2 linked regions of the Pelodiscus sinensis genome follow. The protein of the gene in region 2 binds, or shares a complex with, the protein of the main gene of each other region. Links are inferred from orthologs where the notes say so. Each region holds a gene or a part of one and is shown on either strand. Other genes may lie near its edges. The genes, in order: ADAP1 and KIF13B.

Evidence for each region.
Region 1: the proteins of KIF13B (region 2) and ADAP1 are in contact, whole or in part, in a crystal structure (PDB 3MDB), measured with the Homo sapiens proteins. The link is inferred for Pelodiscus sinensis from reciprocal best matches to the Homo sapiens genes KIF13B and ADAP1. Residues at the interface, in NP_056069.2 of Homo sapiens: Val451, Asn452, Leu453, Asn454, Ala455, Asp456, Pro457, Leu463, Arg512, Phe514, Asn516, Gly517, Arg531, Leu533, Asn536, Asn537, Phe539; in NP_006860.2 of Homo sapiens: Trp137, Asn143, Gly144, Gln145, Phe146, Leu147, Pro186, Ala187, Lys188, Ile189, Gly190, His191, Pro192, His193, Tyr211, Glu213.

The regions. Positions count from the first base shown.
Region 1 is NC_134726.1:26,491,765-26,507,720, reverse strand, and holds the start of ADAP1 (arf-GAP with dual PH domain-containing protein 1), read left to right. Parts: upstream 1-9,081; 5' UTR 9,082-9,453; coding exon 9,454-9,538; intron 9,539-15,956. UniProt on the Homo sapiens protein: GTPase-activating protein for the ADP ribosylation factor family. Binds phosphatidylinositol 3,4,5-trisphosphate (PtdInsP3) and inositol 1,3,4,5-tetrakisphosphate (InsP4). Regulates the incorporation of CD63 and CD9 into multivesicular bodies.
Region 2 is NC_134713.1:4,379,645-4,395,829, reverse strand, and holds the start of KIF13B (kinesin-like protein KIF13B), read right to left. Parts: upstream 6,415-16,185; 5' UTR 6,315-6,414; coding exon 6,260-6,314; intron 1-6,259. UniProt on the Homo sapiens protein: Involved in reorganization of the cortical cytoskeleton. Regulates axon formation by promoting the formation of extra axons. May be functionally important for the intracellular trafficking of MAGUKs and associated protein complexes.

The sequences.
Region 1 (15,956 bases), on a different chromosome or scaffold from region 2:
GCTGGGGTTAGAAGTCAGGCATGCCCCATCCTGTGTTCTACTCACTACAGTGGCACTCTCTGAAACACAGTCAACCTGTGGAACTCCTTGCCAGAGGAAGTTGTGAAAACCAGGACTTTAACAGGGTTCAAAAAAGAACTAGGTAAATTCATGGAGATTAGGTCCATCAATACTTATTAGCCAGGATGGGTAGGAATAGGGTCCCTCTGTTTGTCAGAAGCTGGGAATGGGCAACTGGGGATGGATCACTTGATGATCTTTTATTCTGCTGAAGAGAAGAGTGAGGAGGATTTGATAGCAGCCTTCAACTTCCCAAAGGGAGGTTCCAAAGAGGATGGAGAGAGGCTGTTCTCAGTATGACAGCTGGCAGAACAAGGAGCAATGGTCTCAAATTACAGTGGGGGAGGTCTAGGTAGGATGATAGGAGGATGGTGAAGTAATGGAATGGGTTACCTAGGGAGGTGATGGAATCTCCATCCCTAGAGGTTTTTAAGTCTCATCTCTGGCTGGGATGATTTAGTTGGGATTGGTCCTGCTTTGGGCAGAGGGCTGGACTCAATGACCTCCTGAGGTCTCTTCCAACCCTAGGATTCTATAGTTCTATGATTACCTGTTCTGTTCACGCCCTCTGAGACATCTGGCATTGGCCACTGTCAGAAGACAGGATACTGGGCAAGATGGACCTTTGGTCTGACCCAGTATGGCCATAGTTATGTTTTTATATTCACCCTTTGTCTACGGATGGAATTTAATAATTCAAGAAACAAGCACATCTTAAAAAGAGAACCTCCTGAGGTTTTATATGTTTAACAGGGATACCACAAGTTTTTGATTCACAAGTTTTGGAGGGGTAGCTGTGTTAGTCTATAACTGGAAAAAAACAACAACAGATAGTCTTGCAGCACCTTCGAGACTAACAAAAAATGTAGATGAGCGTTTGTGGGCACAACCCACTTCATCGGATAAATGGAGTCTAAGGGGTTGGTCCAGTTTTCAAATAAATAGTACAGAGAGGAAATGGGGGGAAGAGGAAGAAAAAAGGGGAAAGAAATTGTCAATTAGAGTGTCCATGCTAAATGAAGCTGATAAGAATACTTAGTACCCACTTTAAGTACCCTTTGTTTGTTTTGTATGTCATTAGGAAGTGGAATGTAGTGGGCCATTCAGCCAATGTCTTTGTTTAGACTTCTGTTGCAGGAATCAAACTTATAAATGAAATTCAGTTCTGTAGTTTCCCTGTGGAGCTGGCTTTTGAAATTGATTTGAAATAATACAGTGGCTCTGAGATCCATTAATGAGTGCCGAGGCAAGTTAAAATGTTCCCCAACAGGATCTGTGTGTTGCCTTTTCAGATATCTGATTTGTGTCCATTAATTCTTTCTCGTACAGACTGTCCAGTTTGGCCAGTATATATGGCAGAGGGACACTTGATGGCATAGATCACATTGGTGTATGTACAGTTATATGTAGTGGTTTAAGTGGTTAGGTCCTGTGATGATGTCGCCTGTATTGATGTGTGTATAAAGTTGGTACCGGGGTGGGTTCCTGGATAAGTACAATGGAGGCGTGCTGCGTGGTTATTAGATTCTTCTTTAGGTTAGGAGGTAGTCTCTAGGCAAGGATTGGCCTGTACCCCAAGCTCTGTGAGAGTGAGGGGTTATTTTCCCGGATAGGCTGTGGATTGTTGATAATGTGCTGGGGGTTTAAGTTGGGGGCTGTAGGTGATAACAAGTGGTGTCCTATTGTTTTCTTTGTTGGGCCTATCTTGAAGTAGCTGACATCTGGGTACTTGTCTGGCTCTGTCAATCCATTTTTTCACTTCTCCGGATGGGTATTTCAGTTTTAAGAATGCTTTCTATAAATCCTGAAGGTGCTTATCTCTGTCTGTGGGATTGGAGCAAATCCAGTTGTATCTTAGGGCCTGACTGTAAACAATTGATTGGAAAATGTGTCTTGGATAGAAGCTGGAGGCACGAAGGTAAGTGTAACAGTTGGAAGGTTTCTGGTATAAGATGGTGGCAATGTGGCCATCATATAATTGTACTATAATGTCAAGGAAGTGGATCTCTCGTGTGGACTGCTCCAGGCTAAGGTTGATGGTGGGGTGGAAGTTGTTGAAATTCCTGTGAAATTCTTCAAGGGTCTCCTTCCCATGGGTCCATATGATGAAATGTCATCAGTGTAGCATAAGTAGAATAAGGCTGTTAGGGGGCGAGAGCTGAGAAAACATTGTTCCAAGTCAGCCATAAAGATATTGGCATTTTGCGGGGCCATGCAAGTACTCATAGCTGTGCTGCTGACTTAAAGATATAAATTGTCTCCAAACTGGAAATAGTTGTGGGTGAGGACAAAGTCACAGAGCTCTGTAACCAGGTGTGCAGTGGCGTTAGCAGGGATAGTGTTCCGGACAGCCAGTAAATCCATCTTTGTGTGGAATGTTGGTGTAAAGAGCTTCTATGTCCATGATGGCCACGATGGTGTTTTCAGTCCTCATGAAGTTGGTGGTGTCTTGAAGGAACCTACGTGTGCTTGCAGCATAGGGTCTGAGGAGAGAGTCAATATAACCAGATTACCCTTCTGTAAATGTGCCAATACTTGAGATGATGGGTCATCCGGGATTTCCAGGTTTGGGTATCTTGGGTAGCAGATAAAAAACTCCTGGTTGGGGATTTGGGGGGGAGGAGGAGGTTTGTGTAGATTTGGTCCTGAGTTGTAGCAAGGAGCTTCTGGAGCAGTTGGTTTAGGGTTTTTTGGTATTCTTTAATGGGATCAGAAGAGAAGTCTGTAGAATCTGCTAGGGTATGTCTACACTACAACACTATTTTGAAATAACTAGCACTATTCCGAAATAACTTAGTCCATGTCTACACAGCAGGCAATTATTTTGAAATAGTGTCAAAATATTATCAAGCTGGAGGACTTCTTACTCTGACTCCTGTAACCCTCATTGTGTGAGGAGTAAGGGAAGTCGGTGGAAGAGTGCTCTATTTTAAAATAAGTGCTGTGTAGATGCTCCCTATTGCGAAATATGCTATTTCAAAATAAGATATGCAATTGATATAGCTCAATTTGTGTAGCTTATTTCGAGTTAAGCCCTTCAGTGTAGATGCACCCCTATTGATTCAGTTAGGATCAGTGGGAGGAACTGCTTTTATCCATTGGCTGATAAGGAAAACTGCTGTGGGGAGGAATGCCTGTCTTCTGCTCATCAGGAAGCTAACAATGTCCTTTCCAGAGGGCACAAAATTCCAGACACTTTTCCTTCTATCTAATTACTCTCTGCCTGAATTATGGATATTTCAGTTTGGGTTTGCTATACATGCAAACTGTTTACTTGTGTAATGGAGTGAATACTCTTTAGAATCACATACCAGCTTTGAGTATAATAACTTTCTACTTGCATAATCATAGTCTACATTGGCATGATCTCGCGCAAGAACTCTTTTGCGGATGAGTTCTTGTGCAAAAACTCTTCCAGAAGAGAGCGTCTACACTGGTATATGCCTTTACGCAAGAGACGTGCTTTTGCACAAGAGCATCTGTGTCAGTGTAGATGCTCTCTTGCGCAAGAAAGCTCTGATGGCCATTTTAACCATAAGGCTTTCTTGCACAAGAAATTCATGTTGCCTGTTTACACTGGCCTCTTGCGCAAAAACAGTTGCGCAAGAGGGCTTCTTCCTGAGTGGAAGCGTCAGAGTTCTTGCACAAGAAGCACTGATTTCATACATTAGAACGTCAGTGTACTTGCGCAAGAACTCGTGGCCAGTATAGACAGGCAGTAAGTTTTTGCGCAAAAGCATCCACTTTTGCGCAAGATCACACCAATGTAGACACAGCCATGGTGTTGATTTAGTCAGTGTAGGATCGGGGCCTTGGAGATTCTCTCTGTCTTTTCCAGTTATTATTGCTAATTTATTCTCTTTGTTTCAGCTAATCCTCTTAGATTCCCCACTTTACACATGTTCTAAATAATTCTCAATAACAGACCGATGGATTTTTATTTTGTAAAACAACTGCTCTTGGCTCTCACCGGGGCAGCTATGAAGAGATTTTTATGTCCAGTAATGCCTGAAAATAGACTTTCATCATGGAAAATGTTGACACAGCTGTAACTGTTTAACAGTGCAAGCTGACTCCTCCATAATAAAAAGAAAGCAGCTGAAATCCCTGAGAAGAAATAGCTGATGCTGGGGAGGAAAAGATGGCTTTTTTGGTCGTTTTGGTCCGGTATTTTCAGTGTCAGCCAAAAATTCCTATGCTACTTACAGAATTTCTCAGGCTACACTGCACCTCTCTTGCTCAAAAGCCTATGCAAATGAAGCATGGATTAGCATATTGCTGCACTCCATTTGCATAATTAATTAGGGGCCTTTTTTTGCTCAAGAGGTTTTTGTGCAAAAAGGAGCTGTGTGGACTGCTCCTTTTTGCGCAAAACCCCTCTCTTGCACAAGAGCCATTCTTCCTGAAAAAATGAGGGGCATTATTCATTTAAAAGAACGGTCTGACTAAAAACACAGACTGGCAACACAAAGACAGAAATACCATCAGTGTGAGAGCAGCATTGCCCTGAAGCCTGTGAGAAATTTGCAGGTGACTTCATGAGCAGATTTCCCAAGCTGGTACGCTCTCTGGCACAAGTGACTCATGGTAACACCTAGGAGGTGCACTGCCCCTCTATGCCCCTGCTAAAATTTTAATTGCAAAATAGGGTGCCCCCAGATGCTACCTCCCCATTTGGTTGTAACACCTCTCCCTACAAGCACCAGTCATCCCTGCTCTCTGGGCTGATCTTACACTTGTTGAAGTCATTGGAAAGGCTCTCACTCATCTTAAACATCTTTGGCTCAAAACCACAGGCAGCAGGATAGCAGGGCCTTCTCTTGCATGTGCATTTAGATCGCTCCTTATCTGTAAAGGTCATTGTGACTCAGGCCAGTAGATGACTGTCTTTGCCGTGAGGGACCTTGCTCTATGGAACTTGCTCCTCCCAGCACCCACCATAGATCACTCCTCCCCACATCTGCTGTTCGTGCTGTCACATTCTGTGCGGCAGGAGTAGCTCCTCCGAAAGCCATGGCACAAAAGGGCCAGATCCTTGGCTGCTGTCAATCAGCATAGCATTGTTGACGTTTACGAAGCTATTCTGATTGACTAAGGTTCTGCATCTGGCATAAATGAGGAGTACATAACTCTGCTGAAATCTATGGCATTAAGACAGCACAAATCAGGACTGAGGCCATGGAGTTATGCTAGTGTAGAATTGGTATAAGTGAAAAAGGATCAGGACCCTTTATTTCCAAAGCATTTTTACTAAGACTGCTTTGAGTCCCATATGACTTCAGCCCATCTCCTGCATCCTCTTCTTATGCTGGGCCCTTGTCCTCTCTCCTCACATGCACTTTTTGTTCTCCTCATTTAAACTTTGCAGTGGGGTTTTTACTACAAAGGGTTTCTTGCATTGTGGTAGGCTCTGCACTAACAATTATGTTATTATTAGATTTAAATAATGACAATTGCTCTCAGCCTTATCAGTCTTCCACACCCTTCATCCCCTCTTTCCTTTATGTGAGAGCTTGTTCTGATCATCTCCTACAGTCCCTGTTATATTTGATTTTATTACAAGATATAAATTTCTTTCCGCAGCCCTGGCACACAGCGTATAGAGAGGAATTGCCTAGCAACCAGAAGAACAAAAAATTAAGAGAATCAATAAGCCTCGATGGAAAGCTAAACAGGGACTTTAAAACAAAATCTTTTTTGTTGTTGTTTCTCCTCTGGTAATGACTTGCAATATCTCAGCTGCAGCATGAAGAGTTCATTGTGTGCAATGGATGCTTTTGGGGGCAAGAATGGCCAAGGGATTGGTCTACATCAAAATAAAAGAATGGATGAAAACCCGGCAACTGGATGTGGATTTGCATAATGCCTTCAGCCTGTAAACACACATATGAGTAATCTGAGTATTGACTTTAATGGAACTATTCACAGATGTGAGTATTTGCAGGGATGGGGCTAAGAATCTGTCTCAGGACAGTTCTGTTGTCATTTATGCTTGCATAAATCCAGATTAACTCCACTGAAGACAGTGGGTTTATTCCAGATTTATACCAGCATAACTAGGAAAAAAAGGTTCAGGGGGGTAGCTAAGTTAGTCTGTAACTAGAAAAAAGTTTAAAAACCGACACAAAGGCTCAGTGTTAAGGGGGTGACAGACTGACCTACAAGCAGGAAGCCTGATTCTGTAGATAATCCTACTATTGATTTTATCTGCACTACTTAACAGGAATGAGAGCTGCAAGATTGGATTTTTGGTTAGCATGATAGCTGTTTTTTTTCAAAACTAGATGGAAAAAGCAAGTTGTAATACAGAGGGTTGGCTCATGATGTCAATTTTCAGACATTAATGCAGTTAAACTTATCAGTCAAAATGGCAAGAAATTAAAGAAAATATTTTCCAAATTAAGGAGGAGTCCCATTGAAATCAAAGGTGCTACTTACAGGAGTGAAGTTTTAAACATGTGATTAAGTGATTGAAGCATCATGGTCATAATTTGGATTTAGTGGTGATTTTCTATTGGGTTATTTGAGTCCTGATTCTGAAAACATACTTGTTTACAAACATACATGCTTTACTTTAGGTGGAAGTCAAGTCAATAGGACTCCTCATCATAAAGTCAAACAGATAAGTAAGCTTTTCCAGGGTGAAAGCTTTGATTTTTTTATTTTTTTAGGGGATGGAGTATGAACAAATGGATCCACATCACAAAACCAAAAAGGGTTCCATAACCAAACTGAAATGCTAGGAATCAAAAATTACTTTGGCACAGTCATTTCTAGGCTATATATGATCTAGGAGCAACTGATTAACAGTTGAAAAGGAAGGATGAGCCAGTATTTAGCATGTTCACATAAGAAGTGGGAGACCTGGGTTTCTCCACAGCTGTGATGGGCAACGTAGGCTTGTCATAACCAAAACAGTCTCCCAGGATAGGGTAGTTTTGCTAACTGTGCTTGTGTACCTAGAATTTGCAGGGTGTGTGGATTGAACTGTAGCAACACTTTGATTGGATGCAGAGGGAACATATACTGTACCTCTTACAATCAGTGTTGTGTGTGATCAGTATGCACCTCACTTCACATGCCCTTGCTTTTCACATGTATGTCACTTTAGTAATACTGATAGGAAAAAAACTATGCAGACAGAAACTAGTGGAATTTGGAAACCCTGCACATGGGCTACACATAGAACCCTGATGGACCACATGTGGGCCTTGGGCCACAGATTGCCCATCACTATTCCACAGGCTTCCTAAGTGACCTTTGGTAAATCATTTAGGCCAGTGGTCTCCAACCTTTTTAAGCATGAGATCACTTATTGAATTTACGTGCAATCCAGGATCTACCTCAAACCCAAACACCCTTGACCAACCTCCATCCTGCCCCTGCTCACTCCATCCTCCCTCTCCCATCCTCACTCTATCAGGCTGGGGGCAGGAGTTTGGGGGGCAGGAGGAGTTCAGGACTGGGGCCAGGGTTCAGAATGCAGGCTCCAGCTGGGCACCGCTTACCACAGGTGGCTTCAGGGTGGTAGTGCAGGGGACCAAGGCAGGCTCATCCCCACCTTGTCCCTGCACCACTCCCAAAAGCAGCCAGCAAACTCTTATAGAATCATAGGGCTGGAAGAGACCTCAAGAGGTCATTGAGTCCAGCCCCCTGCCCAAAGCAGGACCAATCCCAACTAAATCATCCCAGCCAGGGCTTTGTCAAGCTGAGACTTAAAAACCTCTAGTGATGGAGATTCCACCAAACTCTCCATCTCTGCCTCCCCTCTGCTCTGTGGAGATGAGGTACAGGGTGGAGGGAGGGGCACCCTGACATCAGCACTCCCCCTTCCTCTTCTTCCTGTGCCCTGCACAGCAAACAGAAGGTTCCCAGGGGTGAGGGGCACCTCCAAGGCAGAGGGCAGGAGCAGCAGGGCACTGAGGGGCAGATGAAGTGCCAGCACTTGATAGGCTTTGGGCCAAACCTCTCAGGATCACCTGTCAAAGGTTCCAAGATCTACCAGTAGACCCTGATCTACTGGTTGGTGACCGCTGACTTAGACCTTTTTCTCCACAAGTATGTGTACACTACAGAGAGCAACTTTAGCTACATTAATTGCATAGCTGAAGTGGAAGCAGCTTAACTAGGTTTTTGGTGCTGTCTACACTGCAGGAAGTAGAAGAGAGAACACTTTTCCTTTGACTTCCCTTATTCCTTGTGAAAGCAGGGTTATGGCATCAACCTGGAATGCCCCTCTTGCTTCAAATTAGCTGTGTTAACTAGACCACTAATTGGAACCCTGTAAGATCGACAGGCAGCTTCGATCTTCCTCTGTATGGCTGTGTCCAGACTCAGGGTTTTTTTCGAAAAAAGTAGCCTTTTTTCGAAAAAACTTCACCTGCGTCTAGACTGCAGCCGTGTTCTTTTGAAATTAAATCGAAAGAACGCGGCTTTTCTTTCGACGGCGGTAAACCTAATTCCACGACGAAGAACGCCTTTTTTCGAAAGTGCTCTTTCGAAAAAAGGCATTCTTGAAAGCAAACAGGGCTTTTTAGAAAGAAAGCATCCAGACTCGCTGCTTTCTTTCGAAAAAGCAGCTTGCTTTTTCGAAAGTTCCGCGTGCTGTCTAGATGCTCTCTTTCGAAAGAGGCTTGCAGTCTAAACATAGCCTATGACAGATGTACCCCACCAGTACAGGAGGGATTATAACTTTTCTCTACCTCACAAGGGCGTTGTGGGGTAAATAGGTAAAGATTGGCAGGTGCTGGGATGTTGAGAACCAGGTAAGCACCTTGGCTAGATTGGCAAAGTGCTTTGAGACCTGTGCAGGGAAAGCGCCATTGCATTTTTTTTAAGGCTGATTTGTGTTTAAGGGGCTTAAGCCTCAGTCAGCAGAGGTCTCCGGGAAGCGGGCTACTCCTCTCCGCAGGCTCGGGGGCAAAAGGTGGGAGCAAGGTGACAGAGTGTCTCGTTGAGTGTTCCCCGCCCCTCCGCGCCACTCGCGCAGCCAGGGGGCTCCGTGGTGCTCGCCTGCAGGAGGGCGGGCTCGCCACTGGAGGTCGCGGGCGGACAAGGCTGGCCGGGAGTGGGCCACGCTCGGGCTCCGGTGCAAGGCAGAACCTTCCCCGCTGCCGCGGGAGGAATGCGGAACCAGCCCCGCGCAATCAGCTGCGGCGGCGGCGGCTGCCGGGGCAGGAGGCTGCTCAGAGCCCAGTGAGGAGGATGCGGGAGAAGGAGCCCTAAGCGCCCGGCGGCTGCCCAGGGGTCCTACTTACCCAGCGGAGCCGGGGCCAGATGAAGCAGCCCCCGGCGGCGAGGTAGCCTCTCCAGCGCCCCCAGCCCCATGAAGCGCATCTAGCGGAGGAGGAGAAGAGAAGCCAGAGCCGAGCCCGTCTCACTCGCACCGGCCCCATGGCGAAGGAGAAGCCCAAGAAGGCTTTGCAGGAGCTGCTCCAGAGACCGGGCAACCAGCTGTGCGCGGACTGCTCTGCCCCCGGTAAGGGCTGGGGCTCGGAGCCGGGGGGTCGCAGCGCTGCAGGACTGGAGCCAGCGCCGGAGTGAGCGGGGCAGGGACGGAGCATGCAGCCGGGCACCGGAATCTCTGGGCAGGCGCCGCCCTGGGGTCCAGGGCGGCACCTGCTCCTTTCCGCTAGCTGCCCGGGCAGGGTGGAGTCCGGTCCAAGTTTGCCTCGGCCAGGAGAGCCCCGCTTGCTGGGCGCTTGGCTGCGGCGAGCTCTGCCCCAGCCTGCAAGCCCTAGCCGGGCTGTTGCAAAACTGCGGGCTCTGGAGAAAGAGGAAACCGGCCGCGTGGGCACGGGGGTTCCCAGCCCCGGGGCAGGAGGAAGGTCTCCCCGGTGCTCAGCGCGGGGGTACCCCCGGCGGCACTTCCAAGGAGCGGGGCGATTCAAGCGTGGCCGCAGGCGAGGGGCGTGTCCCCGATCCGGCAGCTGGCCGGCCGCGCCGTGCTCGGGGGCCAGGAAAGAGAGGGTGCCCCGCTCCTTCGCACGGGGGTACCTCGCTGCCCCAGCGCTCTAGGGCTGACTTGGGAATGCTGATGTCATCCCCGGCCGCTCCAGCCGGGCTGTGTGCGCGAGCTGCAGTGCAGAGCGAGCCCTGCGCCCAGATGACAATGACACCTTGTTAATTTGCAAGGGTGGGCAGGCGGGGCGGAGGACAGGTGGCAGGGGCGAGGTCTGCAGGCCTAGGGCCGGGCGAGCTGGCCCTTGTCGGCCTGGCTGCTCTGCCTGCCCCTCCCTGCTCCTGTCCTTGTGCTCGCCCTGCAAACTGTGTGTGGCTTTTGTCGCCACCCCTGCTTGGCAGCCAAGGTTCCCTTCTCGGTAAATCAACAGACCTGGCGCACCCGGCGCCTTGCTGTGCCACTTCCTGCCAGCCAACCTTTGGCCACCGGCAGGCCTTTGCTGGAGACTTTGCCCCTGTCTTCCTGAGGCATAACTACCGATCATGAAATAATCAGGGGTGCTCCTTGCTGGGTGGTTGGGGTGGCGGGAGTTTCTGAGCCAGACACACACCCTTCCTTGTCCTTTGAATAGAGAAGTCACTGGGGACTGAGCAATTTGAATGCCCACTGAGAGCAGGGAAGCTCAGGTCTGTGTCTGTAAGTGTCTGCTCAGATCCCTCCGGGGAAAGCCCTGTACAGTTTAATAGAAAATAACCTTCCCGGGAGGGAGAGATAGCAAATAATATCCCTCTTGCAGTATTTGGTAGGTTGGCTTTAAAATATCAAACCTGCAGAAGGGCCATCTTAAGAATTACATTCTATAGGTTTTAGGACTTCTGCAGAATATTATTACCTTTCTATGGCACTTTGATGTCAATAGGACTCTACCAGCTGGGAAGGATCATTAGTTGAGGGTTTGTGTCCCTAATCTATATTGAAGATAAACTGGGATCTGCCAAGGATATTTTCAGTCACCTTGTACCTGGTTAGTGATGCCTAAGAATGCACTACTACCCAGTGTGCGTTGCTTTTCTGGCTGGTCGAACTCCACCTAGTTACTGCCATCTCTTACTATATAATCTTATTAACCCACCTTTTCAGTACTTGGCTGCACACAGCTTGGATCTGACTGCAGTTGGAATCTTCCTAAACTGTTTTTCCCCCCCAGAAGGAGCATTTACAGTCCAGGGCTGTTCAGATCAATAGAACACCTCTTACAGCATGTGTAATACGAAGCCCACCCAATAAAACAGGGAGCACCTACCCGGCATCAGCATGATTAAAATGAAACTTTGGCTCAGCAAAATCGTTTGTGTTGTGGTTAGATTGTTAAGGACTCCAAATGCAGGTTTTAAAGCTAGGAAGCCAAGGTCTGCAGTTGATCACATCTGGGTATAGAGATGTGTTCGGTGGGCCTGCGCCTTGTAAGCGAGCAAAATTTGGGTCAGTGTCTTGTGATGCAAGAGAAACTATTACTGTAGTTCATCTCCTTTTCTGCATGGTCTAACTGCTCTGTTTTCTCCTGCATTGTTCCCCAGTGCTAAAGCTCCATTTCTTTCTTGACCATTCTGCTCCAATTTTTTTAACCAATTATGCCCAGCTCTAGACTAGATATGCACGGTAACTGCACTGTAGTATATGCCGCTGACTGCGGTTCAGTAACTGCAAACCAGTATGCCTGTGCATGCTATGGGTTACTTAGGACAATTAAAGACAAGACACAGTCACACAGTGTGCATATGTGTTACATATAAAATCAGTGGACTAAATCTGGTTATTTGCTTTGGTGTAGGGGAAAGTAGGATTAAGTTTTCCAATCTAGGGCAAGGCAAAGAGCAGCTACGTGACCCTTGACTTTCACTGCCCTATGCTACATCCGGTTAAATAGCAATTGGTGTATTTCCCAGTAGCTCCAGTCATGACAGTTTCTCCTCTTTACAGGCTGCAGGGACACGCATGTCAGCCTAACCTTCCCTTCTCATCCTGTGTCCCACTTAGTTCAGGAATGAAGCTACATGCAGACCACAGGTTTTCCACCTGTGGTCCTGACCCATGTCTTAAGATTTCCAAAGGGGGCTGCATCTCAATTTAAAATGTAGAGGTCTGCAAATGAAAAAACAGGCTGAAAACTACTGGCCTAGTCCTAGGGAGTCTTCAGTGGAGAATTACTTTCCTTTTATCCTTTGGTATATATGGTTGTGACTATTTTCTTCCACTATTTGATCTGAGGAAGTGGGTCTGGCCCACGAAAGCTCATCATCTAATAAACCATCTTGTTAGTCTTTAAAGTGCTACATAGTCCTGTATTTTACTTTCCTTTTAGTGAGAGAGGTGGGGGAGAGAGAACACAACAACAAAACAGAAATAGGGAAGGAAAAAAAGAAAGAAGACAGGATGAGAATGGGAGAAAAGAGGTGAGAAAACAAACAAGACTGGAAGACTGGTGCCAATTGGCAGATGGTGCATGGGGACAGAGACACTAGGCATCCCTCTGCCAGTCCAGTGCAATCGGGGATTTGGAGAAACTGAAGGCTGGTGTTCTGCAGTATGGAGTGTATGTTTCTCTCACTAAAATACAAGGGATAATTCATGAGCCAATGAGAATCAGCAACAAGATGCAGTTATTTAGCTAAGGGATTCTTACAATGGGGTAAATAATAGAGCTGTTTGGAAAAACAAAACAAAATAGCTACTGTTTTCAAATGATTTTCATTCCATTTGTGCAGAAAGTGGCTGACTCTTCACTTTCTGAAATTTTCCTCAGAATCTTTTTTTTAAAGAAATTGGTGATTTTTTGAATGTTACATTTTTGCCATTTTGTGAAAAAACTCTCCCTTATCGTTGATTTTGTGTTGCAGTAGCATCCCAGAACCCTCCTGGTGCTAGGTGCTTTACAAACGCTGAACAAAGAGATGCCTCCTGCCGAAGAGTTTGCAATCTAACCTCTCCTCCTGACTAAGTTGTACAACTTGAGGCTATATCTACACTGCAGGCTTCTTGTGCAAGAAGCTTTTCGGAAAAGCAATGCGCTTTTGCGCAAGAGAGTGTCCAGACTGCATGGAAACTCTCTCGCAAGAAAGCTCTGATTGTCATTAACAGAATGGCCACCAGGGCACCTGTGCTTGTTTTGATAGGCTGTTTTTGAGCAAAACCCCCCTGCTGCCCATCCCCCCCACCTTTTCGCGCAAAAACTCTTGCGCAAAAAGGACTTATTCCTCGTAGAAAGAGGAATACCTATACCACAAAAACCACTCTTTTCTGTCAATTCTCTGTAAATTTTCTTGTGCAAAAATGCGCTTGAGGTGTGAACACTCTGTGAGTTTTTGTGCAAAAACTTTGTAGTGTAAACGTAACCTAACAGTGCAGTGAAAAAATCAGCCCACAGAATAGTACATGAGCAAACAAAACTAATTTGAAATAAGTACCTTTCTTCCCAGGCTGCACTTCCCATTTCTCCCCTTATCCCTGCCCCTCCAGCCGCTTTCTCTGACTGCTTAAATTAACTGCCCCTTCCAAGCCTTATGGCACATTAGAGATCAAAACCCAAAGACAGGAAAACAAAAGAGAAAACTATTTTTTCTCTTGCAGTTTTTGAAGAGCATATTTTTTTTTTAAAAAAAGGTTTTAGTAAAAATCTAATTTTTTTTGTAGAAGTTTTTTTTCCAGAAAGAGACATTTTGACTAAGTGCTTTCTGTCCAAGAATTCCAACCTGCTGTAGTGAACAATAAGAGCACATTATCCAAGTCTTTGAGGCTGAATTACAATGCACAAACCATTGTAATAAAATGTACAGGCAGTCCCTGAGTTACGCGGATCCGACTTATGTCGGATCCCCAGTTACGAACGGGGTTTGCTGCCCGTCTCCCTGGTCTGCTGGAGACCAGCAGACCAGGGAGATGGGGAGCAAAGCCTCTGAGGACGCTGGCAGCGGGACAGCCGTGGCGCGTCTGGGCTGTCCGCTGCCCGCGTGCTCCGCGGCTTTGCTCCCCGTCTCCCTTTGCTCCCCGTCTCCCTGCTGGTCTCCAGCAGACCAGGGAGATGCGGAGCAAAGCCTCGGAGGACCCGGGTGGCGGGACCGTGGTGCATCTTGGTCCGCCGCCCGCTGCCCGCGTCTCCCTGGTCTGCTGGGGAGGGGGGGAAGGCGCAGCTAGTACGCCCACATCCCCCCCCCAACAGACCAGGCTTTTCTCCGGACACCTGTGGTAGAGCAGCTGGGGCGCTGCCGGTTGGTCCCGCAGCGCCGCTCTGGGTGCTACTGGACCAACCCGGCAGCACCCCAGCTGCTCTGCCCCAGGCGTCCTGATTCAGCCGCTGCTGGTCAGTTTCAGCAGCGGCTGAATCAGGACGCCTGGGGCAGAGAAGCTGGGGTGCTGGTGGGTTGGTCCAGTAGCGCCGAGGAGCGGCGCTACTGGAGCAACCCAGCAGCACCCCAGCTGCTCTGCCCCAGGTGTCCCCAAGTCAGCCGCTGCTGAAACTGACCAGCGCTGACTACAGGAAGCCCGAGGCAGAGTTGCTCTGCCCCGGGCTTCCTGGAATCAGCCGCTGATCAGTTTCAGCAGCAGCTGACTTGGGGACGCCTGGGGTTCTTAAGTTGAATCTGTATGTAAGTCGGAACTGGCGTCCAGATTCAGCCTGTTGAAACTGATCAGAGGCTGATTCCAGGAAGCCCGGGGCAGAGCAACTCTGCCTCTGGCTTCCTGTAGTCAGCCGCTGGTCAGTTTCAGCAGCGGCTGAATCTGGACGCCAGTTCCGACTTACATACAGATTCAACTTAAGAACAAACCTACAGTCCCTATCTTGTACGTAACCCGGGGACTGCCTGTACTTGGAACGCAGGGCCCTGAATCTCACACACTGCAGGACTCTTTGTTGGATTGCATCTCTCATTGGGTGGAAGCCAGGTTGCAACAAGTCTATTTCACTGGAACAAGGTGTTTGTCATCAGGGAAGGCAGCACGGATTATACAGGTCTGATGGCACAGTGAATAATCTCTCCTAATGGCTGCTGTTCAAGCAATGTCTTACCGTAGACTCATAGAATACTAGGACTGGAAGGGACCTCGAGAGGTCATCGAGTCCAGTCCCCTGCCCTCATGGCAGGACCAAATACTGTCTAGACCATTCCTGATAGACATGCATCTGACTAAGTGGAACTTTGCCCATGAAAGCTTATGCTCCAACACTTCTGTTAGTCTATAAGGTGCCACAGGACTCTTAGCCGCTTTTGCAGATTCAGACTAACACGGCTACCCCGCTGATATTTATCTAACCTACTCTTAAATATCTCCAGAGATGGAGATTCCACAACCTCCCTGGGCAATTTATTCCAGTGTTTGACGACCCTGACAGTTAGGAACTTTTTCCTATTGTCCTACCTAAACTTCCTTTGCTGCAGTCTTCTAGCATGTTCTTTTTCTTTAAGACTAATATGGCAATGCAATTGGTTTTAAACCATTATTTGTCTTAAGAAATATTTTTGCACATTGTGAGATGGATGGTTGTCTGGGGGCACAACAAGGCTTTGTGTGTGTCTCTTCACTTGTGCTCTGCCAGTCAGTGGACATCCTCTTTCTGTTTGCAGGTATCTGCATCTGTGAATGCGGATAACTGCGAACCATTTTTGCAGATGCAGATATCAATTTTGTCTCCACGGGAGGGGTCTCTTCATATTCCATTCTAACTGTCCTTGGCCTCTGTTTGTCAGAGGCTGGAGAGGGATGGCAGGAGACAAATCGCTTGATCGTTGTCTTTGGTCCACCCTCTCTGGGGCACCTGGTGCTGGCCACTGTCGGTAGACAGGATACTGGGCTAGATGGACCTTTGGTCTGACCCAGTACGGCCGTTCTTATGTTCTTATGACTCAGTTTAGGGTTACCTTTCTACTGGTTCAAAATCTTTTTACTTTGATTTGGGGAGGAAGAAACTTAGCCATGCAGGCAGAAGTGCAAATGTCAC
Region 2 (16,185 bases):
GTGCGGGTGATAGGACTAGGTTTTATTTGTTTGTAGGATGATCGTTGCAATTAATCTAAAGTAACCCAACCACATAATTGTTCCTTCTAATGCACTGAAGCAGCAGTAAAGAGCAAAATAGTAGTTTTGGTCTGAAAGATCTACCGGGCACATTTTGGAAACTCCTCTAATACAGACTTCTTCCTTCATGCACTGACAGTCAGCTTGCCTATTGTTATTATAAGTACTGTCAGTTTAACGAAGTTCATACTCGTGCTCCGCAGTTGTGACATGTCACATTTTCTTGGCCTGGCTGGCTAGTAATTGCAGTCCACAATTTTTAATAAGCAGCTCATTCCTCACAAGCAACTTAATCCTCACAATTAATAAATCGGTTGCATTTCTAGTGCAAAGCACAAAATGGAGCAAAAAATTATCTCGGCTCAATCCAGCCTTGAAGAGGAAGTCTGTGTGGAGCCAATTGTCCTTCTCTAGCCCATGTGATTAAAGGGCAATGAAGTGCTTCCTTCTGGGGCTCTCCAGCCACTCAGGGTCTCAGCGAAACTGAGCAAGATCAGTTTGAGAAGTACATTCAGCAAGCTTGTAAGCAAGATGGGACAGTTCCTCAAAACCACATCTCCTCAGGAAAAAGGAAGGAAAACTCCCTGACAGCAGTGTTACCCTATACTGTACATGCTGTCTGTTGATTGTTAAAGATATTGTAAAGCCACCCTCTATTCTGGAGATCATGCAAACTGATTGGCATACGTTAGCAATGACTGGTTCATCTCAGAGCCTCAAGAAACAATTACACATCATTCAGAGTACTGGAAGGTGAAATTATGTGCATTTAGGTGACTATCTAACCTACCTTGAAGGTAGTCCTATATGATAGCCACATTTTAATGCTAAAAAAGGTAGCTGGAATTTAGCTTTCAAGTAGATCACATTCATATGACCTGAATTCTGGTTTATTTACAATAGGTAAATACAATGTGCTATCATGGAATGAGGAATGTAAAGGGTTAACTGGTTACCCAGTAAGCACTGCCAGCATACTTACTGGGGTAACTAGTTAACCGTAATAGGGTTAACCATAACTATACTGGGGTAACTAGTTAGCCAGTGCCTGGCCAGGACAGCTCCCCACCTGTGGCACATGATAGGTGGGGGGGCTGCTCCAGCCTGGCCAGACCCACCACACCGAGCTACACGGAAGGGGTCGATCCAGCAGCCCTCAGCCCATGACGCCACATGGCGAACCAGTTAACCGGTTAAACATATAGTTTAACCAGTTAACATTTAAAGGGGGATTTTACATCTCTAGATGGAATCCTGTTTTATTTTAGCATTTCATCTAAGTAAGAAAGAAGAGTTTAGTATTTACCTAGTTTAAGATTTTCCATACTTCCCATCAGCATGGTATCCAAACTAAAGAGGTTAGTCTTAAAGCCAAATTATTCGGAGACTGTCTTTTTATGCAGGCACTATATATATGCATTTTGCCATAGAGGCTGAATCTCCCTGATGTGGCACCCTCAGGACCTGATATGTCCCAGACCAAGGAAGGTCAATCAATGCTCAGGCCGTCTAGGGCTCCATTCTTCACAGGTTTGGTAAAGCTCCAGATTCGAGCCAAGCAGTCAATCAGCTGCCACTTGTTTCAGCGAAGGTAGACTATTACCAGGATATAGTAATCTGCTGACTACTTTTTGCAAACTATGAAGGCTGCTTAAAAATTACACTCAAATCTTAAAGCAATGGTGTTTACTCTCCCGCAGACAACCAGAAACCAGTTTTAACAGTGTTTACGCTGAAGACTATAGCTGATCACGTGTTGACCTCAAATGGATCAAGTAAACATCAAGCTCAAACATCAAGGTAATCTCATAAAAACTAGGCTTAAGAGCAGTGTTCTCTGTAAATTGAGCACTTGGGTGGACACCCAGGAGAGATTCAAATGCCACCCCGCTGATTTGCAGAGCGCCCACAGCTGGCAGCATGAGTGTCCTCTGGTGGTGCACATCTGTACGTGCTTTGGTGCACATAAAATGTATTCCACACAGTGGATGGAAAAAATTAGAGGTAACATTGCTTAAGAGCACATTTACTTTATTTAACACATTATTTTCCTTTGCAGTACACACATTTGACTCAGCTGTGACTGCTCAGAGTTAAGGCTATGATTAAGTCAGGGAGGTCACGGAAGTTATGGAATCCGTGCCATCTTGTGCCCCAGGCTGGAGCTGTCGGCAGGCAGCCCAGCAGCTCTCAGCTCCTAGCCACTACATAGCACAGGGATCTCAGAGCTCCAAGCCCTCCCATAGCAGCCCAGCCATGGTGGGCAAGGCCCATAACCCCTAGTACCTGTGGGTACTAGACCCTCCCCTTCCTCCTCATTTTGTCTGGCATATTTTAGTAAAAAAATCACAGACATGTTATAGGCTTCTGTGATTTTTTGTTTATTTCCAGAGACCTGTCTGTGATTTTTAGTGTAAATATCTGTGACAAAATATGAGCCTTACTCAGGATTACTGTTTCTCTTTCAGAGTAAATGCTAAGCACACCCAAGGTGTTACAAACATTTCTCGGTTATGCAATTGTATTTTAAGCAAGCTGAAACAACCTAGAACCACATGCTTTATCTGTGTGTCACTGCATAGTTTTCCAGAGCGAGCCACAAATGTATTATTGTTTACACTATGGGAGTTAAATATACTGTAACTATTCACTTTTAAAAGGATAATGGAGAGTAACAACTCTCAGATACATCAGTTGTTTGTCTGTAATGCCTTCCATCCAGAACAATTCAGAAACAATATATTCATAACATCGTGGAAATGCAACCACCTCTAAAGTGCATGGCAACAAAAAGTTGGTATACAGCACACTGTATAATAGTGGGAAATGTACAGCAGGGACACCAGTGTTTCCTCTGAGCTGATAGCTTGGGCCACCAAGGTGAGTTTCAAATGTCGCCCAGCAGATTAGCAGAGCGCCCAGGGTCAACAGCATACATTTGACCAGTGGTGCACATCTGCACATGCCTCTGTACATAACAAAATTTATTCTGCTCATGGATGGAAAAAGTTCTTGGGAACACAGCAGGACACTCAGGAAAATTCCTTCTTTTGAAAAGAAGGCATTAACATACAAGTTAGCACAAGAATCCTTTTTCTTACTTTCAACAAATTGGACTGGACTACTAGTACCGTAGGTAAAATGGTATTCAGCACATAGAGCCTTCTTCTTCTTCTGCAGAGAAGCTATTACTACTTATTTATTCAATGCCTAAAAGTGTAAGCACAGGTTGAACCTTTCTAGTCCAGCATCCTCCAGACCTGACTGATGCCAAACCAGAGAATTTGCCAGACCATGGAAGGTCAATATTAGCAGCGTTATCAACATTTCCACTTACTGGGTTCTTAGAAGACAATTGGGGTAAATTAGAGCTAAACAACAGCACAGAACACAGAGTCAAGTCTGGTCGCTATAAGTGAACTTTATGGGACCGCGGGAAACTTGGCCACAGCCATGATAAGAGAACATCTGACTACCTAAAATTATGCTGGACTACGGATGTCCGACCAGAGTGTGCTCGATTACAGAGTTTCAATCTGTAGCTGATTTGCATGCCAATTTATAGGGCTACAGCAGAAAGTTCCCAGCCCTGAGGAAATTTACAGGCCAAAGATAACAATAGGTGCATACATCAATAATATTTCAAAGGTTAAGTATCTACAGTCAGTCAACACAGGTTTATATTGTAAAGTCTCTTATTATGGGGTCATACGCTGTAACACACAACGGAATTCAGACTATTTCTTGTTTCACAACCAAAAACTTCTCAAGAGTCATACCAATGTTATTAAAATTAAATACAAATTACAACATGGGTTTTTAAAAATCAATCCCTTGCCTTGAGGTCTAAGTGTTACCAGAAGATGATCCCTAAACAATCAGACTTCAAGGCTGTGTACACATCCCTCAACTGCAACATTACAAGGGACAACTGTCATTTACACAAACTTGGCATTACCTCATTGTTCATTACAGAGAGTTTCAGGAGCATCAGAGATGTTGTAGTGAGATACTAATTGGGTGTGTATCTATATTTGTCCTTAATTGCCTGAGCTTTTTTAAATTATCCATTTCCTTTTGTGCACTTGTTTCTCTACCAGCTGCAGTATCTGTCCTTTTCTGATTTTAAAAAACACAGTCACATAAAAGAAAAATACACTGACTGTAATTAATATACAATATCTAGGCAAGTTTTATTTTAAAAAAATCCTCTGTCAGTTCACACTTCATGTTCCAGCTGCTTTTACCCTCATAGTCCCTGGGTTTGGGGCACTTGGGGTCACGTTCACATGCAGGGTTGGCTGAATATGTGAGTCATTTGGTGGAAGGAAAAGCTGAAGGGGGGGAGAGAATGAGAGGAGAGGAAATTGGGAAGGAAGTGAAGAGACAAGGAAGGAGCCCCATTGTAAAATGGGTGCAAGGGGCGCGGGGCGGAAGGGATTATATGGAGACAGGAAAAAGAGAGAAGGGGGAAAGATTATGAAGGGAGACTCATAAAGGAGGGAAATGTGGGGTGGTAAAAGGGAGGGAATGAATGAATCAGAGAGAATTATGAGTAACTCCTCTGTGTGGAGGCAGCTTGAGCCTACTCACTCTCCACAGCAGCAGTGTCTGTTCCTCCCTCATTTTGGTACTACCTGCTACCAGCCTCCATGGTGGAAAAGGGTGGTAAATCCCTCCCCCCCCCCACCACACAGTGAGGGGAGGGGCTCATGCCACCGTCTCTGACGCTCACCAGCCCTTCAGTGAATAGTGGGGTAGGTGGGCTTCTCTTCAACCCCAGCAAGTGGTATTTGTTGCGGGGTGTCAATCCGTGTCCCCCACTCCCACCAGCGAGAGGTGTATGTGTGGGAGGGGGACGGTGTTGATCAGCATTTCCTTTCCCGGAGGGTGGCCGGAGGAAGGTCTCCTGCTCCCCTCAAGGGGTGTCAATCAGTCACTGTCTCTCCACCTTCCATGAAAGAAGGGAGGGTACTGGGGGTGTCAGTCAGATGCTACCTCTCCCCCCTCACCAAGGGAGTTGTTTGGGAGGTATTGGGTAGTCAGTGTCTCTCTCCCCTCATCAAGGGAGGGGAGGTTGGGGGGAGGGGTGGGAGGTCTAGTCAATCACTCATTCCCCCTCCCCCGCAGAAAGGAGGGGTGGTCCAGTTGGGAAGTGTCGCTCGTCTCCACCCTGGAAAGGAGCATGGGGGCCAGTGGGGCAGTGTCTCCCCCCAGAGAGGAGCGGGGAGGGGCCAGTGGGGCAGTGTCTCCCCCCAAAGAGGAGCGGGGAGGGGCCAGTGGGGCAGTGTCTCCCCCCGGAGAAGGGCAGGGGGGGCAGTGTCTCCCCCTGAAGAAGGGCAGGGGGGGGTAGTGGGGCAGTGTCTCCCCCCAGAGAGGAGCAGTGGGGCAATCTCTCCCCCAGAGAAGGGCGGGGGGGCAGTGTCTCCCCCCAGAGACGAGCGGGGGGCAGGCAGTGGGGCAGTGTCTCCCCCCAGAGAGGGGCGGGGGGGCAGTGGGGCAGTCTCTCCCCCAGAGAGGGGTGGGGGGGCAGTGGGGCAGTCTCTCCCCCAGAGAGGGGTGGGGGGGCAGTGGGGCAGTCTCTCCCCCAGGCGCGGGGGGGGAAGGGGGCAGTGTCTCTCCCCCAGGCGCGGGGGGGTGAGGGGGGCAGTGTCTCTCCCCCAGGCGCGGGGGGGGTGAGGGGGGCAGTGTCTCCCCCAGGCGCGGGGGGGGGTGAGGGGGGGCAGTGTCTCCCCCAGGCGCGGAGGGGGGCGAGGGGGGGCAGTGTCTCTCCCCCAGGCGCGGGGGGGGTGAGGGGGGCAGTGTCTCCCCCAGGCGCGGGGGGGGGTGAGGGGGGCAGTGTCTCCCCCAGGCGCGGGGGGGGGTGAGGGGGGCAGTGTCTCCCCAGAGGTGGGGGGGGCGGGCAGTGGGGCAGTGTCTCCCCCCGGAGAGGGGTGAGGGGGGGCAGTGTCTCCCCCAGGCGCGGGGGGGGGGTGAGGGGGGCAGTGTCTCCCCCAGGCGCGGGGGGGGGGTGAGGGGGGCAGTGTCTCCCCCAGGCGCGGGGGGGGTGAGGGGGGCAGTGTCTCCCCAGAGGCGGGGGGGGGCGGGGGGGGCAGTGTCTCCCCCCGGAGAGGGGCGGGGGGGGCAGTGTCTCTCCCCCAGGCGCGGGGGGGGGGGGCGGGGGGGCAGTGTCTCCCCGGGGGGGCGGGGCCGCACTCACCTCTCCTGTTCATGGGGCGGACCCGCACCGCCACCTTCACTTTGGAGTCCCCCATCCCGCCCGCCGGCCCGCTCGGCTTCCGTCCTCCGCCGCGGGCACGGGACACCCCGCCGGCAGGCCAGGGGGCGGGGCCGGCCACGCGGAGGGCGGAGCTCCGGGACGCCCTGCCTGAGGGACCGCCCCGCGGGACTCCCCTCCCCAGCACGCCACGCGGGGGCCGCGCGGGGCATGCTGGGAGACGTAGTCCCGGCCTGTGGCGCGTGGCATGTCGGGACATGTAGTTCCCTTGGGATGCAGGCGGGGATGCCCGTCCAGTGGCGGGGAGCACGTGGAGGCGGCCCAGCTGTGAGCTAGGGCAGCGTTTCTCAGCCAGGGGGCCAGTAGCCTTAGGGGTACCCGAGAGAAGTCTGGGGGGGGGGGAGAAAACTCCATTTTTGTTTTACGTTTTACCGCCTTTTATTATTTTTGTACGTTTTACCCCCAAAAATGTCATCGCCCGCCTGGCTACGATGAAGTTGTTTAAACAAACATGTTGCAATGGTAGAAAAAAAATTCGTGTGTCTGAAAACTATCCCTACTGGGGGTACTTATATTTTTTTAAAAAAAATGTATAAAAATGTATTAAAAAAAAGTTGAGCTACACTGAGCGAGGGTGATACAACAGGTAGGAGAAGGTCCCTTAGCGGGAGCAGGACTGAAGGAATTGGGGCACCAGGACCCCTCTTCCGTTCCCCATCTATAATGCGGAGAATGAAAGTCACCCTTCTTCATGGTCAATGGATAATACACCCTCTCCCCGAGTTACGAACGAGTTACGGACCAAACACTTGGCCGTAACTCAAAGTGGTGTTTGTAACTCGGACCTCATTGAGTTACATGGCGACCGCACTGTTCGTAAGCGCGGATAACGTTCGTAACTCAGGGACTGCATTTACGACCAGCTGTATCAGTGCCTGGTTCTGGGGGAAGCGCAGGTCTGAGGCCTCAGAACAAAACCCCTTTCTGAATTAAACGCAGATGTCTTCCGCCTATCTTTCCCTCAATTCGCTTTTCCCACACATGCAACACTCCCACTTCCATCAAGCAATAAACAATAAACCCTCTAAATTATTCAAGCTCTTTTGCCTACAGGCTATGATGGGGGGAAAAAGGCAGGGATAGACGTTTTTGTATTTCTTCTTAGACAGAAAAAGCCTTATTAGCACATACTTAAATAGACAGTGTTCTGTTCCAGGCTCTGGAAAACACAGAGCATCTAGGCTGGGGCCCTGGTGTCCAACACTCTAGCCACTAGCCACGTGTGGCTATTTGGCCATGTGAGTGTGATTAGTTGATGTGAACAATGTGGCTATTTTGCTGGTTGAGTGTGGCTAGTTTGCCATAGTAGTAGCCACTATAGTGGCTACTACTTCAGAACTGGTTGGACACCAGGGGTTTAGGGGTTCTCAAACTGGGTGTTAGAAGGGTACACCTCAGATGGTCACGGGGTTATTACGTGGGGAGGTCGCAAGCTGTCAACTTCCCCCCCAAACCTTATTTTGCCTCCAGCATTTATAATGGTGTTAAATAAAAAATGTGTTTTAATTCATTAGGGGGCATCTCACTCAGAGGTCAGAACTGCTGAATACTTTCCCCAGCACTAGAAGGGGAAGGTGGTGTGGTGTGTTGACACTATACACCTGCTTTCAGACTAATCACTTTCCCTCTGTTTATTTTGCTGAATAATGATGGTAACCACATCAAACTAGAAATCCACAGCTGCAGTATGTGGCTACCTTGTCATCCACCTCAAATCACCCTTCCCTATTCCTCTTTGTTGTAATGCCTAAAAACATGGCAATGGTTAGGCAGTTGCTCCTCAGAAACCACTGCCTCTTATGCTAACCACTGTTGTCTTGCTGTTTACTTGTACTCCCACGTATGTCTATATCCTTCTGTCATCTCATGTTTTACACGAGATTGTAAGCTCTTTAAAGCAAGGGCTGTCGTTTTGGTACAGGGACTAGCACCAGTCCCAGTTCATGAATAGAGTGTCTACTCACTATGAAAATGCAAATGATGATGATTATAACAATTAATATAACAATTTACATTTTAATCACTGTATTCCAATGCTTTATCACCTCATCTTCACTCCCTCCCAGCACCAGGAAACGTGCACGTTATAAAGTGCTTCCTATATGCTCTTTTTTACTAGTCCTACTTGTTTAGAAAAATTCTCCATTTGGGTACCAGCAAGGTACCAGTGAATCTTTCAGGGAGACTGGTAAAGTTTGAGTTTTCCATGCTGGGCACAGGACACCAGCCTTGGTAGGGGTGGGGTGGGTGGCAGTGACATCACAAAGGCCTGTCTCAGCGCCTCCACCATTTGGGGAAAGGTGATGGGGAGGTGGTGACCTCACCCGGAGACCCTGACATCAGCCAGGCAGGACAGAGGGGCAAGGTGGGGGCAACCTCAGAGACACCCCCTTATGGCTTTGTGATTGGCCCTCCCAGAGAGGTGAGATTGGAATTGCTCTGAGATTGCTCCCCTCTGGCGGTGACCTGGGCCATCCTTTGGGACGTCTGCTAAGAACGCCCCCTCCCACCTTCCATTGCCCAGAGTCTCAATGCTGATTGGCCGAGTGTTATGCATCAGCCCCAGGGAAAGGGGGGAGAAGGGGGGGCTTCCCCCTTCCTTACCGGTTTGACGCCGGACACGCTAGGCTTTCTAATCAAAGGCTTTTAATCCGGCTATGCTTGCCGCGCTATGCCTATCCCGCACAACGCGACCGTGGCCCCAATGACCACCCTTTTGGGAAAGGGTGAGAGGGAGGGGGTCCGGGCCCGCCCCCACTCCGGACCCCGACCCAGGGCCCTAAAGCCAGGACGCTCATCCTAGCTAGTAACGGGGGGGGTTTGCAAACCCTAAACTCCCCTGCTCTCGGGTTCCGCGGCCCCGCCCTGGGTCACTTCTCCCTCTTTCCCAAGTCCCTCATCCGTCCTCGCTGGCCCCCGGGGTTTTACCTCACCCAGGGGCGCAGTATCCAGTCCCCCCTGGCCCTTCGGGGGTCTTCCGATCTCCCTGCTCGCCTCCCTCTCCCTGGAAGGGTGGCCGGGGTTTTAAATCTCCCGCCCGAAGCAGGGAGATGACGTCTCCCCCCACGTCCTCTGTGCGCGCCGCCTGGCCCCGTCGCGGGGGTGGCGTCAGACCCCGCGCAGGGCTGGACGGACGCCGCTTCCCTGGGCGGCGCCTGCCGGCCGTCCCGAACCGTGCCTCTCGGCGATCGGGGCGAGCCCGTGTTGCGGCCGGCTCCGGGAGTGGCGGGGCGGCCTCGCCACACCGAGCAGGGAGCTATTGGCAGGGAGACGTTTTCTCGGGTTCCCAGCTGTGACCCACGGCTGCCCTTCCTTTGCAGGCTCCGCTCAAGGGCGTGTCAGACCCCAGGCAGGGACCCTGCGGGCAGAGTCCCCAGACACAGACAGGCTCCAATACAGCTTGGAGGTGAGCATGGTCCGGAGGGGTGGGGGCAGTTTTACCTCAGCACTGGGGGGAACTGGAAAGGGGAAACTGGAACGCCTTGTCCCAGCCTGTCCTCCTAGCCTGAGCCCCAGTGGGCCAGCCTTGGTCAGGGCAGAGCTATGCGGGTCCCTTCCTCCTCCAACCCCTCCCACATCCAACCCCTGGTGAGATCCAGGAATCAGATATTCCACCCGCAGCCCCATTGCTCAGCCCTGCGGATGGGGATGGGGCTCGCTGGCATGGCCTGGACATGGGTCCATTGATCCTAACCTGCCCTTCCCCCACAGCACGTCAACTCCTGTGCCAGGCCCAGAGTGTCCCAGGTGAGAGCCAAGGCTGTAAGGAGCCGCAGAGCCCGGTTCTAATTCACCATCCCCCTCCCTGGATTGTACGTAGGTGACCTCTTACTCCGGCCCCCTAACCCCAGGTGTAGGCAGGTGGCTCCGACAGGCTGTAGGACCTGCAGCTGCAGGGACCGTGGGGTGGGCGCATTCCCCCTGATTCCTGGGGGCACCCAAGGCTCTGACGGATCCTTCTTCTCTTGAAACAGGAGGACGTCACAGCCAAGGGGATGCGCCAGTTCCGCTCCATCCCACCCTCTCACCAGGTGCCTGTTGAGGTGTAGAGCCCCCCACGGGGCCAGAAGGGTTAGAAAGCAGGCCTAGGACACTGGGGTCCTGCCCCACCGCCAGGGTTCCCTGTAAGCCGGGTGCTTGTGTGGCCCCTCAGGAGAGTCCAACGCTGCCTGGCTGATTAGCAGAATACCAACAGCAAGGTTTAGTTCCAACTGGTGGTGCACATTCACACCTACCTCGGTGCAGAGAGAAATTATTCCACACATGGATATAAAAACTATTCACGTGGATGGAAAGGATGAGAGGAAACATTGCCCACTTCCCTGCTCCAGCTGGAAGAGGTGTTTCAAAGGGACCCTGCATGTGGGGTATAGTCCCACAGGCCAGCTCAGAACCCAAAGGGTTAAGCCAGGCACCGCGGGCCACAGCTGATTGATGGGTGACAGCAGCGGGGAGGATCAAAGGGCTGGGAAGTAGCCTGGCTAAAGAGGACTGAGGAGGCAGGAGGAAGGATCTCCGGTCAGCAGCCTGAGAAGAGCCATCCCGGGACACCTCGGCAGCAAGGGGCGAAGAGGCCAACAGACCAAGCCCGTGACAGGTGAGAGCACCGAGCGGATTTCCAGATCCCCGGGCAGGAGGAGCAGGCTGATCCCTGGCCACTGAACTGAGCGAGCTGGAGCCACGTCCTCCCGCTCAGGTGCCCAGGGGCTGCAACTTTGCCCTGACCCACCAGCCAGCTCGGAGCGGGAGAGACCAGAGAGCGACCAGAGAGTGAGGCTGGGCCTGAGGAGATGCAGAGGAAGATAGACTCATAGACTTTAAGGTCAGAAGGGACCATTATGATCATCTAGTCTGACCCCCTGCACAGTGCAGGCCACAGAATCTCACCCACCCCTCCCAGAACAATCCTCTCACCTCTATCTCAGATATTGAAGCCTTGAAATACTTTGAAGGCCCCAGGATGCAGAGAATCCTCCAGCTGTGATCGGCACCCCATGCTACAGAGAAAGGCGAAAAACCTCCAGGGCCTCTGCCAATCTACCCTGGAGGAAAATTCCTTCCCGACCCCAAATATGGCGATCAGCTAAACCCTGAGCATGTGGGCAAGACTCACCAGCCAGACACCCAGAAAGTTCTCTATAATAACTCCTATCATCCCTCCTGGCTGCAGGAGAGCCCCCAGCAGCCTTTGCCCACAGCCCCTTTGCTCTACCAGCTGGAGCATCGTGGGGACAGGCCTGTGGCCCTGTGCCCAGGAGAGGGGAGGGCCCCAGCCATCACACTAACCACCCACTTCATAGGGGGGCCCAGACCCATTTGTCCTCTGTTGGGGAGGCATGGTACACCCTGAGCCCTTCCCAGGAACCAGAGGGGAGATGCAGATCGTTCATTTTGTGGGGACCCTGGACTGCACAGTGTGGTACGCTGTGGGAATCTGGAATTCAACTGGTGAACCAGCCAGAAGGCAAAGGCCTCACTGAGCCTGGCTGATCCCAGACCTCCTCTTACCCGCATTGGCACTGCTCTGGGGGGAGCATCGGTAACCACAACCAGGCAGATTTGAACCTGGGTCCTCTGCAGCGGAGTATAGGAGCCGCTACCCTCTGAGCTAAAAGCCAGCTGGCTCCCAGCCGATGCTGTAGCTGTCTCTTGGTCTTCACTGTTGCTGTGGGCTAGATTCCACGTGCATTGCTCAGAAATCACACTAGGGCTATGTCTACACTGGCGCGATCTTGCTCCAGAGCTATGCAAATGAGGCTAAGCGTGGAATATCACCGAGCCTCATTTGGATATATAATGAGCCACCATTTTTGCGGAAGAGGCTCTTGCGCCAGAAGGAGCTGTCTACACGGCCCCTTCTTGTGCAAGAAAAACCCGCTTGCTCAATGCCCTTATTCCTGAAAATAATCAGCGTAGCTCAGAAGTCAGTGCCAGCGCCAGCAGCAGCACAGAATGGAGGCCGGAATGGGATCGTGTTGCCACCTTTCCTTCTGTGCTGCTGCCTTCTGAGCTGGGTGGCCACAGAGCCATGCCCTCTGGTGAGGTGCCCAGCTCAGATGGCAGCACTGCTGCCAGTAGCAGTGCAGAAGGAAGGGGGTTTAGCATGGTCTTACCACCCTTCCTTCTGTGCCGCTGGTGGTGGCATCTCTGCCTTCCAAGCTGGGCAGCCAGAGATACCGGGAGCCCAGCTGTGAAGTTAGTACCAGCAGCAGCAGCGCAGACGGAAGTGTAACATGCTATGGTGTTGCCACCTTGCCTTCTGCACCGCTGCTGGCTGGGGCACTGCTTGCCAGGCAGGGTGACTGACAGCAGCTGCCACTCCAGCCACCCAGCTCTGAATGCCAGAAGAAGTCATGGACATGGTGTCCTATTTCCAAAGTCCGTCTGGATGGAGATCTGAGGACTGAAGAAGAGATCATGGCCAGGAAAATCCAAACTCCGTGAACGACCTTCCTGCACTTGTCTTGACACTCCCTTTTGGGCTGGGACCCCCAGTGTGAGAAACGCTGCCCTAAGGGATTCCTTTATGACCCCGAGGGCCGACATGGCCAGGAAAACCCAGGTGCACAGCATGTGTCAAACCTCAGCATCCCTGGCGTTAAGTGGCCTGGTACTTGTTTGTACAGACTTGTGTATAAAGAAACTGTTACTTACCTAGGAATAAAATGTGTCCACATTCCGCTTGTATCAGCCAGATTTTATCCAAACTTCTGCTAACTCTGTAGTCGCCTGCGGGTTGCTGCCTCCTCAATTTCCTAACACAGCGAAAATTAATCTTAGCCTCATCGGTGCAAAATTCTTCATCCTGGGGGCACCGCCAACCTCAGGCGTAGCAGCATCAGGAGCCCAGTCAAAAAATCATGAGACTGGCTTAAAAACAATGAGATGAAAGAGAAAACTAAATAAACAAACACATGATCTATTTTGCGACTTTTTTTGTGCCTTTGCTTTCTGAGCTGGGAGGACATGCTCAGATCATGTGTTCAGCCTTTTCTCCGCAAACCTGAGGACTTGAAACACTTTTTACGTGAAAGCCGAGAGTTCAGCTACACTCCAAAGTCTATGCTGACATAGCTGTGCCATCACAGCCCCCTAGCTTAGATACAGACCACACTCAGTTTATGTCTACACTGCAGGCTTTTGCTGGCAGAAGGTATGCTAATGAAGTGCTCATTAGCATTTGTTATGCTGTCATTTGCATAACTCTGCCTATGCTTTTTGCACAAAAACAAGCAGTGTAGGTAGGTCCATTTTGCACAAAAAACCCTTTTTGTGCAAGATCTGTATACCTCCTTTTTGAGGCCTAAGGGATCTTGTGCAAAAGGTTTTTTTTTTTGCACAAAACGGACCCATCTACACCGCTTGTTTTTGAGCAAAAAGCATCGGCAGAGATATGCAAATGACAGTGCGACAAATGCTAATGAGTGCTTCATTAGCATACTCTCTGCCGGCAAAAGCCTGCAGAGTAGATATAGCCTCAGAGGAGTTTTTCTGTTGGCAAAACAACACCACTTGCCCCAACAGAGCCTTCTGTAAAAACTTAACTCCCAATTTTTACAAAATTGAACTAGTGTGTCCCCACTATGGGGAAGCCTCGAAATCAGTCTGGGCAAGCTCCGTTAATGTGGACATGCTACCTTGACTTAGAGCCCCAGGAAGCACTGGAGAGTAATTATTTCGAATTACTCTGGGATAGGGATGTAAGCGACTAGCTGACTAGTCGACTACCTGATAAGCAAATACTTATCGGGTAGTCGAGTAGGAACTCCACCCCCTTGCTGCCAGTATCAGAGAGAGGCAGCAAGGGGGGAGTAGGAGCTGGTGCTGGGAGAGCCGTCTTCCAAGCCGGTTCCTTTGGTATATATGGTCATGCCAATTCTCTTCCAGAATATGATCTGAAGAAGTGAGTCTGGCCCACGAAAGCTCATCACCTATTAAACCATCTTGTTAGTCTTTAAAGTGCTACATAGTTTTTCCTTTTGTTTAGGAGGAGTTCTTGAGCAGACAGACAGACATGCACAAATGCACAAACAAATTCTCTCAGATAACTGGCTAGATTGAAACACTAAATCCAAACACCCCTACATTTAGACAGTGGGTGGATTGATAGTCAGACCTGGGAGTGTCCTAGCAACAGGGATGTTATCTTCATTGGTAAAGTTACAGGATTTACTAAGGAAGTTGGGTTTAATAGTGGCCAATAGCAAACTCTGCATCTACAGACAAGAGCGACACCTGGTGGCTCAGGGACAAAGGTGAATTCAAGTCCCATTGAATTAAACCCTTTAATTTTATTAGCTTCTTTTAAGGAAAGAGAAACATCTCCCCCAAACCGCAGGGTAGCGGGGCAAATCTCCTCTGGTTTCAGGCACATGCTGTTACAACAGCAACAGAACACCCATCGGTAGCAAAGTTACCAGCTGCTAGAGGGCAAGAAAGGTGACTCCCATTTGAGTCCTGCCTGCTCTCGTTTGCTTCTTGGTGCCATGGAAAGGGTTACTGCTCTCTTGGTAGGTGTAGGCCAAAGTGACGGCTCCCTCAGGCTAGGTCTACATCCCTTATTCCTCAAAAAATGAGGTTTACAGGCTCTTGCACAAAAGGGTTGTTTTTCCCCCGACAAATGGCCTTGTCTACACGGGACATTTTAACGCAAAAAAACTTATTCTGCAGAAAGGATCAGAAAAGGATATGCAAATGGGAGCGTGATATATGCAAATGAGCACTCCATTTGCATATCTTCTGCAGAAAAAAACTCATAGGCTGCGTCTAGACTGGCATGATTTTCCGTAAGTGCTTTTAACGGAAAAGTTTTTCTGTTAAAAGCATTTGCGGAAAAGCGTCTATGCCAATCTAGATGCGCTTTTGCACAAGAAAGCCCCGATCGCCATTTTTGCCATCGGGGCTATTTGTAGCTGTCTACACTGGCCCTCTTGTGCAAAAGAAGTTGCGCAAGAGAGCTTTTTCCCGAGCGGTAGAGTCATTGTATTTGCGCAATGATCATATATTAGATCGTCAGTGTTCTTTCACAACTTCAAGTGGCCAGTGTAGACAGCTGGCAAGTTTTTCCTCAAAAGCGGCTGCTTTTGTGGAAAAACTTGCCAGTCTAGACACAGCCATAGTGTAGATTGGCAGGGAATGTGCACAAAAATAATAGAGAGGGGAAATGCTTTTCGGTCAGGGGGAATTTGCCTCCCTTCCTTGCAACATAAACAGCATCTTTCTGCCAGTGGCACTGGAACTATTTTTTGGGTGGGGGTGCTGAGCTGTGCCCCCCCCCTTTCTCCCTCCCCGTTTGTGCCCCTCACTGCTCCAGCTTGGGGTCAACCTAGAGTTACCCCAAGTCGCTTGGACTGGCCGAATGGCATCTAGTCTGGTAGAGTTGGACCCCAAGGGGCAGTGGAGTCTGCAGTGACGGCAGCCTGGATCCTGGGGCCAGCAGGCTGCAGATTCTGCAAGGAATGACGGGTGGCAGGACCAAAGCCCATGGAATCAGCAGGACCCTGGAGGGGCCACTGGGAGGCTGGAACCCAGGGCTGGCAGGAGCAGCAGTGGGTGGGCAGCAGGGCTGGCCCCTAAGCACGGGGAAGCTGGGGGCAAAACCTAGAGGTGCTACAGCATCTCCTACATCCCTACTTCCCACGCCTACGCTTTCTGCTGGCTCCACGGAGCTCTTCCTCGCTTCCCTATGAAAGTGTAGAGAGCAAAGAAATCAAAGCCACAGGGGAGAAAGAGCGGCTCCAGCTAGGCCACACATGGAGGTGAGGCAGGTAAATTCCATGCCTGCCCAAAGTTTGCAGTTTTGGGGGGCAACTCCCCTCCCGTCCCCCAAACTACACCCATGATCCTAG